Linked DNA regions of Macaca fascicularis. The protein of the gene in region 1 binds, or shares a complex with, the protein of each later gene. Links are inferred from orthologs where the notes say so. Each region holds a gene or a part of one and is shown on either strand. Other genes may lie near its edges.

Region 1 (4,268 bases):
AACATGGGACGTAAGTCAGGTTAACAACAACAACAAAAACAAAGTCAGAGGTTTATCAAGGTACATTATAGCTGGGTGTGAGAAAACACAAAGTCCTGCAGCTTAAAAGACCAGGAATCACTGGTGATCACAAGGAGCTACAGTGGCTTCATTCCCAGATTCTACCTATGCCCGCGATTTGGGTTTGCGGATTTCCCAGAACTCTCTGTTTACAAGACCTTGGCTGCAAGGAGGCAGTCAACAAGTGCAACTGATCACTCCAGTAGATGAGAAAAGAATGTACCCAGTTTGGTATCCCACATTCTGCCAACAAATGGAACATAAGTCACAAAACAGAATAAAATTCCTGAATCCCAATAAGAAAGAGAGGAAGAAAAAAGGGCAGGGAAGAGAAATGGAAGTAGAGAAGGAGTAACTAAAGTCATGAGAAGTCAGAGACATATCAGAACGGACTAGAGGGCGAGAAGGCAGGCTAGCACAAATTGACAGCAGAGGCTCCCCTTTACTGAAATGTACAGCGGCAGGCACCATGCTTAACTTTACATGCACTGACCCATTTAATCCTCTCACCAAGCCAGAGGTAGAAACTATTCTCATCTCCATTCCACTGGTGATGAAACCGGAGCGGCGTGAGGTACGGCACTTGCCCCAGCACAGAGCGAGGAAGATGCCGCTTTGACCTGCCCGGGTCTGACTCCAGGACACCCCATTCTTTAACCCTTACTACCTATTCTGCCTCCCAGGCCTTCAAATAGGGTTGGGAAAGGAGTCATTCGCTTATCCATTCATCGAACACTGAACACCAACTGGGTGAGTGTCAAGGCCTGGGGCCAGGCGCCGGTGGGCGGATGTAAGGGACGCGGGCTGCGAGTGGGGGACAGAACGCGACGTCAATCCTAAGGCGAAGGAGCACAGCCCGCGGCCAGACCGGCAGCCGGGGTGCAGGGTGGGACCGAGGGCACGGGGCGCGCCGCGGAGGCCTGAGGAGGGGCGGGCGGCCCCCGCTCCCCGCTGCGGACCGCCGGCTTCCGCGGGCGGCAAGCCAGGCGCTCAGTGTGTTGTGGCATTTAGTGTCCGCCACTCCGCGCGGGCGAGACCGCGGGCGAGGGAGGCAGGGCGGACGGGCATGGAGACCCTGCGGGGCTGAGGCAAGGGAAGAGTGGCCTGGGGGAGGCCGAGGAGGGGGCGAGGGGCCAGGCGTCGGGGGCGTCGGGGTCGCCTGCGGCGTCGCGGGACTCACCTCCCGCGGCAGCCCCTCCGGACTCGTCGGCCCCACCGGGCCGGAGGAGGCGGGGATGGACTCCGGGCCGCGGGGGCTGCCGGGAGCCCGTTCCCTGGGCAACGGGGCCGACACCGGGGCCAGCACCGAAGAGCGGCAGTTGGCTCCGCCAGGTGCTAGAGCGGCAGAGCCACAAGTGGTAGCGGGCGGGGCGGACGTGACGCAAATGCGTTTCCGGCGGGGGTGGGCGGGGCTTCGCCTCTCCTTCTAGGGATCTCTGCGGACCGCATGGAAGGTGCGTGAGATGGGTTCCTTTCCCGGGGCAGGGTGGCTGTGAATGTTACTGCTTGGGCCGCAGGTTGGGCCAGAAGCTGAGGAGCTCCCCGGATTAAATGAGGTTAAATGGAGGTCAGATGCCTTGCCCCAGCCTAGCCCGCAGGCCCCGCGCAGCCTCTGCTGGCTGCTCGGGAGACAGTTTTGCCGAGCCTCCGTTTTTTCACATGTGGAGTGACAGATGAACGGGACGATATACGCAAATGAGTGTCAGCAGATCAGACACCCAAATTGTAATTATTTTCACTATAAATTAGCACTAACAGAGTTCACTGGGTGCCAAGCCTTGCATGCTCAGCTCCTCCAGTAACTCCTCTCTGAACTGCCTTGTCAGAACATTCTGCTTGTAATGAAAGCTGGCTTTCGCCTAGTGCTCAGTCTGCTGAGTGCTGCTCCAAGTACTTTAAGTGAATCATCTCATTTGAACCTCACAGTGATCCCATGAAGTAATGTCAACCCCATTTTGCAGATGGGGAGTAGAGGCTCAGAGGGGATAAGTAACTTAGTCACTGTGCCCTCACCCTGCCCTGTCCTGTGACGCTGATGACTGGTCTGTCTTTACTGGCCCTTAAGTTTCTTGAAGTCAGTTATGTTTTTGGTTCCTAAATATGTGCCCAGTATGAGTCAGGCTGACCATAAATCAGATGTGGTCCTGCCCTCAGAATCTCCTGCTGGGGGAAAACCCTCAGACAGTTATAGAACAGGTGGTAAGAGCTATTCCTCCATTTACCTCATTTTATGCAAAGCTTCCTATGTGTGGAAGGTTTGAAAGAGAACAAGACATAGTTCCTACCCTAGTTGAATTCCCAGTTTAGCAGGGAATATAGACATTAAACAAGCAAATACACTCCACCGATGAATATCGTGATAGCAGAATTACAGGATGTTCCACATATCTACCCCCCAACTTGGGGGATCCAGGAATACTTCTCTGTGGAAATGACTTTCTAAAAACCTGAATCAGATAATTTCACTGCCCTACCCAGAGTTTATTGCTCACTCCCCATTGTATTAGGTTAGTGCAAAAGTAATGGCAGTTTTGGCCATTAAAAGTTGTGGCAAAACCTGTTACTTTTGCACCAGTCTAATACTTAGAATAAGTCCAAACTTCTTATCTTAAGCTATTAGGTTCTAGTTGTCTGATCACCTCCTCACCCACTAGTCCTTTTCTGTCCATTTCATTCCAGCACACTGGTTTTTGTTTGTTTGTTTTATTTTGTTTTGTTTTCTGTTTTTTGAACTCACCAACCTCATTCTCATAATTAGGGCACATACTACCGACCTACCCTTTTTCTGGCTTTTCATCATTCAGATCTCAGCCTGAATGATACCTTCTCAGGGGGTCACACTAACACAAGACCCTGTTTTATTTTCCACATACACTTACCATGATCGGAACTGATCGTGGCCATTTAAGCGTTTATTATCTGCCTCCCCTTTGGAAAGTAAGTTCCTTGAAAACGGTCCTGATCCATCTCATTCAATCACTTCATTCCCCCATGCCTGGCATATTGTAGACAGTAAGCAAATATTTGTTGTTTAAGTAAAGAATGAGTGATAAATCAATATGATATTTAAAAGTGAGGATACTAAGTATGAGGCAGGGGAGTGGGGACACACACAGATAGGAAAAACATTCCAGGTCAAAGTCAGAACTTGGACAGAGCCAGCTCTGAGGCACAGAGGGCAAGTGGGAAAGGGGGAAGCTGAAGGGATGGGCAGAGCTTGGATAGTAGAGGCCTTGAGCTAACAGGTGAGATACTGGGTTTTTGCCATGTGCCAGGCCTCACAGCTTCACATATATTATCTCATCTCAGCAATCCTATGAAGTAGATACTATTTTTATTCCCATTTTACAGATGAAAATGTTGAGGCTCTGAAAGGTACATTAACTTGCCCAAGATCTCACAGCTGGCAGAGCTGGGATTCAGACGCAGGCAGTGTGGTCTTCTGACTCGAGACGTCAAACCATCCAGCTGTTGTGTGTCCTGGATTCCTGAAGGGGACTTTATCCTGTGGGCCGTGAGAAGCCTTTGCGGGGTTCAAAGTAGAGAAGGCGAGAGGGCACCGGAGGGCTGGGGGAGAACAAACAACCTGAGTTGGCTCTTGGTGGTCTGGGGGTTGCTTCCCACAGGCAGTGGGATCCGGGTACATCTTGGAGGATAGGCGCCATGAGCCTGAGGAAGGAAGGCGCTTTCCTGCAGAGAGAACACGTGCAAAGGCCTGCAGGCACCTCAGCTTTTCAAGAGCTGCCAGTAGTTCATTTTCACTGGAGATTGACAGGGGGCCAATGTGTATGTGTGGGTTGATGTACGTGTTGATGCAGAGGGGTAGCTAGGTCTGGAAGGACTTTGGACTTCCTCCTGATTTCCAAGCAGGGCCGTGGCAGCATCGTGATCAACTCTGCATCTCTGTTGTCTCAGTGTCTTGAAATGATTAGCACTCATGAGCCATGCCACTCTGAACAAATTTAAAGTATCAGAGTGCCTGAGACTAGATAGTGGAAGTACTCAGGAGTCAGGGCTAGATAGATTATCCTGTAGGGAAGGTAACCGGAGCCATTGAAGAGTTTTAGCAGAAAGTCACAACTTTACCTTATTTCCAATCTTTGGAAAACAAAGGGCTTAAGGTAAAAATTTTGCGGAGCCATTAAGCTGGAAAAGGATTCAGCTATATCTGGTGAATCTTAAAATGTTAAAAATATTCTATGTAGGCT
Region 2 (4,267 bases), on another chromosome or scaffold:
GGGCACAGTGGCTGACTCCTGTAATCCCAGCACTTTGGGAGGCTGAGGCATGCAGATCACTTGAGGTCAGTAGTGCGAGACCAGCCTGGCCAACATGGTGAAGCCTCGTCTCTACTGAAAATACAAAAATCAGCAGGGCATAGTGGCAGGAGACCGTAATCCCAGCTACTCCGGAGGCTGAGGCAGGAGAATCACTTGAATACAGAAGGTGGAGGTTGCAGTGAGCCAAGATCGCACCACTGCACTGCACTCCAGCCTGGGTGACAGAGTGAGACTCTGTTCCAAAAAAATAAAATAAAATTCCTGATGTGTGAAAATTATGTGAAATTCACATTTCAGTGTATCCACAACTAAAATTTTATTGGAATACAGCCCATCCATGCCCATTCACTATAGCTGTTTTGGACCTGTAACAGCAGAGCTAAGTTGTCCGACAGAGACCCCTCCCACCGGCTCAAGTAGCCTAAAATATTTGCTACCTAGGCCTTTAGAGAAAAGGATGGAGACACATGACTTACGGAAGTGAGACAGAGAGTGAAAGGGTCTGCAATTTTCCATAAGTGGTCATGTCAGATTTCATTAAAAGGTGACATCTGAGCGAGTCCTTTCTGAAGGGTGTTACCTAACCCCACGGGGCTCCCGGCCTCCGCCCAGGGAAGCTCTCCAGCTCTTACCGAAGTAGTCAAGCCAGTTCATCTGGCGCAGCGCCTTGGGGAGCCGCAGGATCTCGATGTTGTAGAGGTTATCCACCTCCTTGAGGAGGTTCTGCCTGTCTGACTCAATTTGCTTGATTCGTATTTCCACTGCGGGAGGGCAGAGCCGACAGGACACGGGTCACGGGGCGGGTGAATGTGTGCAGCTCGTGTCCCCACCCGCCAGCATCCCGCGACCGCCCCAGGAGGCCGCGACGGCCTGGCCCCTTTACCTTCACGGTCGAAGTCTTTCAGAAAGGAGGCGAGCTTCCGCCTCCGTAAGGAGTTGATCTTGGCCACCCGACTACTGCCCTTCCTAGGAGCCATGGCGCTCGGCGGAGGCTGCGGGGAGCGGCGGAGATGGGGCAGGGAGGCAAGGAACCAGGTAGGGACCAGGAGGGCGGATGGGGACCACCCGAATAAGTCGCCAGGCACGTACCTCCGGTCTCGCGACAAGGACTGAGTAAAACCTCGCTATGCCAGTGAGAGAGAGCGGCTCTACCGTCAACCGCCACCTAATTCAAACTCCACAGCCACAGGCTGACGAATGAGAAACCGCCGTCCCACAGTATCCAATCACAAGCAAGTTCCTACCTGCCCGGGGTCTCCCGCCCAATGCGCTCCCTATAGCCGGAGTGCGTCAGCGCGGGCGCCGCCGTCGCGGGTGCTCCTGGGAGTTGTGGTCCAGGCTTGTTTCCCCGCCCTCCCCACCAACCCACCCGGCTCCGCCCTGGCCGGCTGCAAACTATACAAACTGCGACTCCCGGCAGGCCTTGCGGCGGGTCCTCATTACCCCAATCTTTGAAGGGCTAGGAGCGGACTAGGTCAGGTCGGCTGTAGGATTCTGCTCCGGGGCCGGCGGCTGCTTCTTCCAGGCCTGGCTGCCACTGAGTAGCCGAGGGGCCGCCGTGACACTCTGACTGATTGACTGGTTGGCTGCCTACGTCGGCGCTCCTCAGGGCCCCAAGCTCCCCAGGCCGAACTTGGGGCAAGTGGAGGGTCGGCGGAGACAGAGCAGCCCCGACAGGGTTTGGAAGGGGTCGAGGCGGAATGACAGGGGAGCGGGGCCGGGGTGCAGGCTTTGGGGTGGGCGCGCCAGCCCGTGGCCAGTTTGGGCAGCGAGTGGGGAGAACCCTCTTGTTCCTCGCTTGCCCGCGGGCCGGCCACTCCCGTCCAGTTCGCGTCTTGGCGCCTCGACTGGGTGTGCAGCGCGGGGCCGCGACTTCAGGTGCGAGTAGTGGCGCTTGGCAGCTGCCCACGCGGTGACTGCAGCGTGAGCCGCGGCCACCACACTCCAGGGAGCCCAGGGCAGGAGGCAGCTCTGGGTGTTCTGGCCGTGGGCCTGGGAATGGGCGTGTAGACCTCGAACCCCGCTGAGCCGCAGTCCTGTCGGAAGTGCTAACTGTGCATCTTTGCATCTGCCCACAGCCACAGGGTTGGATTGCTCAAGGGTTGTGCTGAGACCCAGCAAGGCTAGAGGCTAGTTTCGAAGCTGTAGCTCAGGCTGAGTCTCAAGGCGGGCGACGACTGGACGGCCAGACCGGCGAGCTCTTGACAGGTTTGTGGCCTGATTGTTTGGATTTGGTGCTTTTCACCTGTGGATGCGGAATGAAGCCATGTCAGAGGGGTTGTTTGTGTTTAAGCGTGCATGTTATAGGCTATGGGAGTGATAATCTTGCCTCTCCCCCTCTGAGTTCAGGAACAATCAAAGAAATAAGCAAAGGTGCCAAGCAGGCTCCTGATGGGCACCAGCGAGCTTGGGGACAGAGCAGTCCAAGCATAGAAACCCTGGCAAGCCTGGCCCTTCCTAGAAAGTCCTTTCTCTCTCTCTTCCACCCTGGTTTGTTGCTCCATATACAAAAAATATTTGAATGTCGCTCTTCCGCCCAAGGTCAGCCCTGGGCAGTGGGTGGTGGGGGTGACACCCGAGTCTGCTGGGTGCCTAAGGATCTCCATCAGTTAGATGGCCAAGATGAGAGGGGACGACAACCCGTACCTCATGTAGGCTTTCCCGCAGCAGGTGTTTTTATGATGGGCAAATTGGGCTTCCAGCCTCTCGGTTTCAGGGTTTCCTTCACCCGACTCCCCAATGTGCCCGACCTCCCTGGGCACCTAGGATGTCCACCTGCATCTCAGCGAGAGCTGCCACGTCAGGAGCCCGTGATTCACTAGTTTTTGCCAGTTGGTTGTGATACACAATGTCAAAAGTGTCATTAAGGCACAGCCGAAGGCGCAAGCTGAGAGGAAAAGACTCCACAGTTAAGAGGACATGCCACCACTGCCACCCAATTTAAACTGCCGCAGGCTGACAAATGAGAAGTCGCCGTGTTTGGACGGTCCCAACATCCAGTCCCAAGGAAGCTTCAAGCCGAGTGGCCAATCCACATGTTGGACTACAGTACCCAGAAGTAATTTCGGTACTATGATATATTTTCGCGACTCAATAGCCTTGCAGGCCTGCGGAGGAGCTTTGGGGGCGGTCGCCTGTGAGCATGCGCAGAGAGACTATGGGCGCGTGGTGCTCACGCTTTGGGTGTCTTGACTTTTAAGTTTTTCCGCTGGTTTCAGGAACGCGACCGGCAGCCTCGGGCAGGGGAGACAGGACTGTAGGTCAGAGAAGAGACGGCGATTGGCCGCCGGGAATCCTCTGAAGCAGGAGACTGCCCTATCCAGGTTACCCTTCCCAAGGGGAAGCCAGGATCTCCTTCAGAAAGCTGAGGCAGGGCCGGGGCTGGTGGCTCACGCCTGTAATCCCAGCACTTTGGGATACCGAGACGGGCGGAAAACCTGAGGTCAGGAGTTCAAGACCAGCCTGGCCAACATGGCGAAACCCTGTCTCTACTAAAAATACAAAAATTAGCCGGGCGTGGTGGCGGGCACCTGTATTCCCAGCTACTCGGGAGGCTGAGACAGGAGAATTGCTTGAACCTGGGATGCAGAGGTTGGAGTGAGCCGAGATAGCGCTACTGCACTCCAGCCTGGGCGACAGAGTGAAATTCCGTGTCGAAAAAAACAAAAACAAAAAAAACCACTTCTGGAGGTGAGACAACTCCTGTGTGAACACGAGGACGGAAATGACGCCCACCCTCGACCCAGTGCCTCCCGGACTGACTTGCCACCCCAACGTGGTTATTTTCTATTTTTATCTTTTTCAGCAGAAGATGACTCAAGACCGGCCTCTGCTTGCCGTGCAGGAGGCCCTGAAGAAGTGCTTCCTGGTGGTGGAGGAGCAGCAGGGCCTGTGGCAGAGTGCCCTGCAGGACTGCCAGCCCCTCCTGTCTTCCCTCAGCAACCTGGCGGAGCAGCTGCAGGCCGCACAGAACCTGCGGTTCGAGGATGTGCCGGCGCTTCGGGCCTTCCCAGACTTAAAAGAGCGGCTGAGGCGCAAGCAGCTGGCTGCTGGTGACATCGTCCTGGACAAGCTAGGGGAAAGGCTGTAAGCAGCTCCATAGTGCTCTTTCCTGGTGGAAGGATTTTAAAACGAGGTGTTTTATATGTAGCTAGTATCAGTCCAGAAGGTGTTTTTCTCCTTGAAAGCGTGGCATTTGGAGGTATCTCAACCTTCCTCACTTACC

What was found.
Region 2: the proteins of CINP (region 1) and AIRIM are in contact, whole or in part, in a cryo-EM structure (PDB 8RHN), measured with the Homo sapiens proteins. The link is inferred for Macaca fascicularis from reciprocal best matches to the Homo sapiens genes CINP and AIRIM. Residues at the interface, in NP_116019.1 of Homo sapiens: Leu161, Leu162, Thr165, Glu169, Asp177, Leu178, Leu180, Ser181, Tyr182, Ser184, Met185, His188, Pro190, Tyr191, Val192, Glu193, Ser194; in NP_001289959.1 of Homo sapiens: Leu107, Gln110, Ala113, Ala114, Asn116, Leu117, Phe119, Val122, Ala124, Leu125, Phe128, Pro129, Asp130, Leu131, Arg134, Leu135, Lys138, Gln139, Ala142.

What each region holds. Positions count from the first base shown.
Region 1 is NC_088381.1:170,474,476-170,478,743, reverse strand, and holds the start of CINP (cyclin-dependent kinase 2-interacting protein), read left to right. Parts: upstream 1-1,468; 5' UTR 1,469-1,507; coding exon 1,508-1,514; intron 1,515-4,268. UniProt on the Homo sapiens protein: Component of the DNA replication complex, which interacts with two kinases, CDK2 and CDC7, thereby providing a functional and physical link between CDK2 and CDC7 during firing of the origins of replication.
Region 2 is NC_088375.1:197,229,379-197,233,645, forward strand, and holds the start of AIRIM (AFG2-interacting ribosome maturation factor), read left to right. Parts: upstream 1-1,467; 5' UTR 1,468-1,680; exon of another isoform or gene 1,681-1,920; intron 1,921-2,119; exon of another isoform or gene 2,120-2,120; 5' UTR 2,121-2,250; intron 2,251-2,744; exon of another isoform or gene 2,745-2,808; 5' UTR 2,809-3,004; coding exon 3,005-3,109; intron 3,110-3,180; exon of another isoform or gene 3,181-3,732; intron 3,733-3,847; coding exon 3,848-4,128; intron 4,129-4,267. Other genes in the region: CDCA8 (borealin), read right to left, coding at 675-803, 926-1,019. UniProt on the Homo sapiens protein: Part of the 55LCC heterohexameric ATPase complex which is chromatin-associated and promotes replisome proteostasis to maintain replication fork progression and genome stability.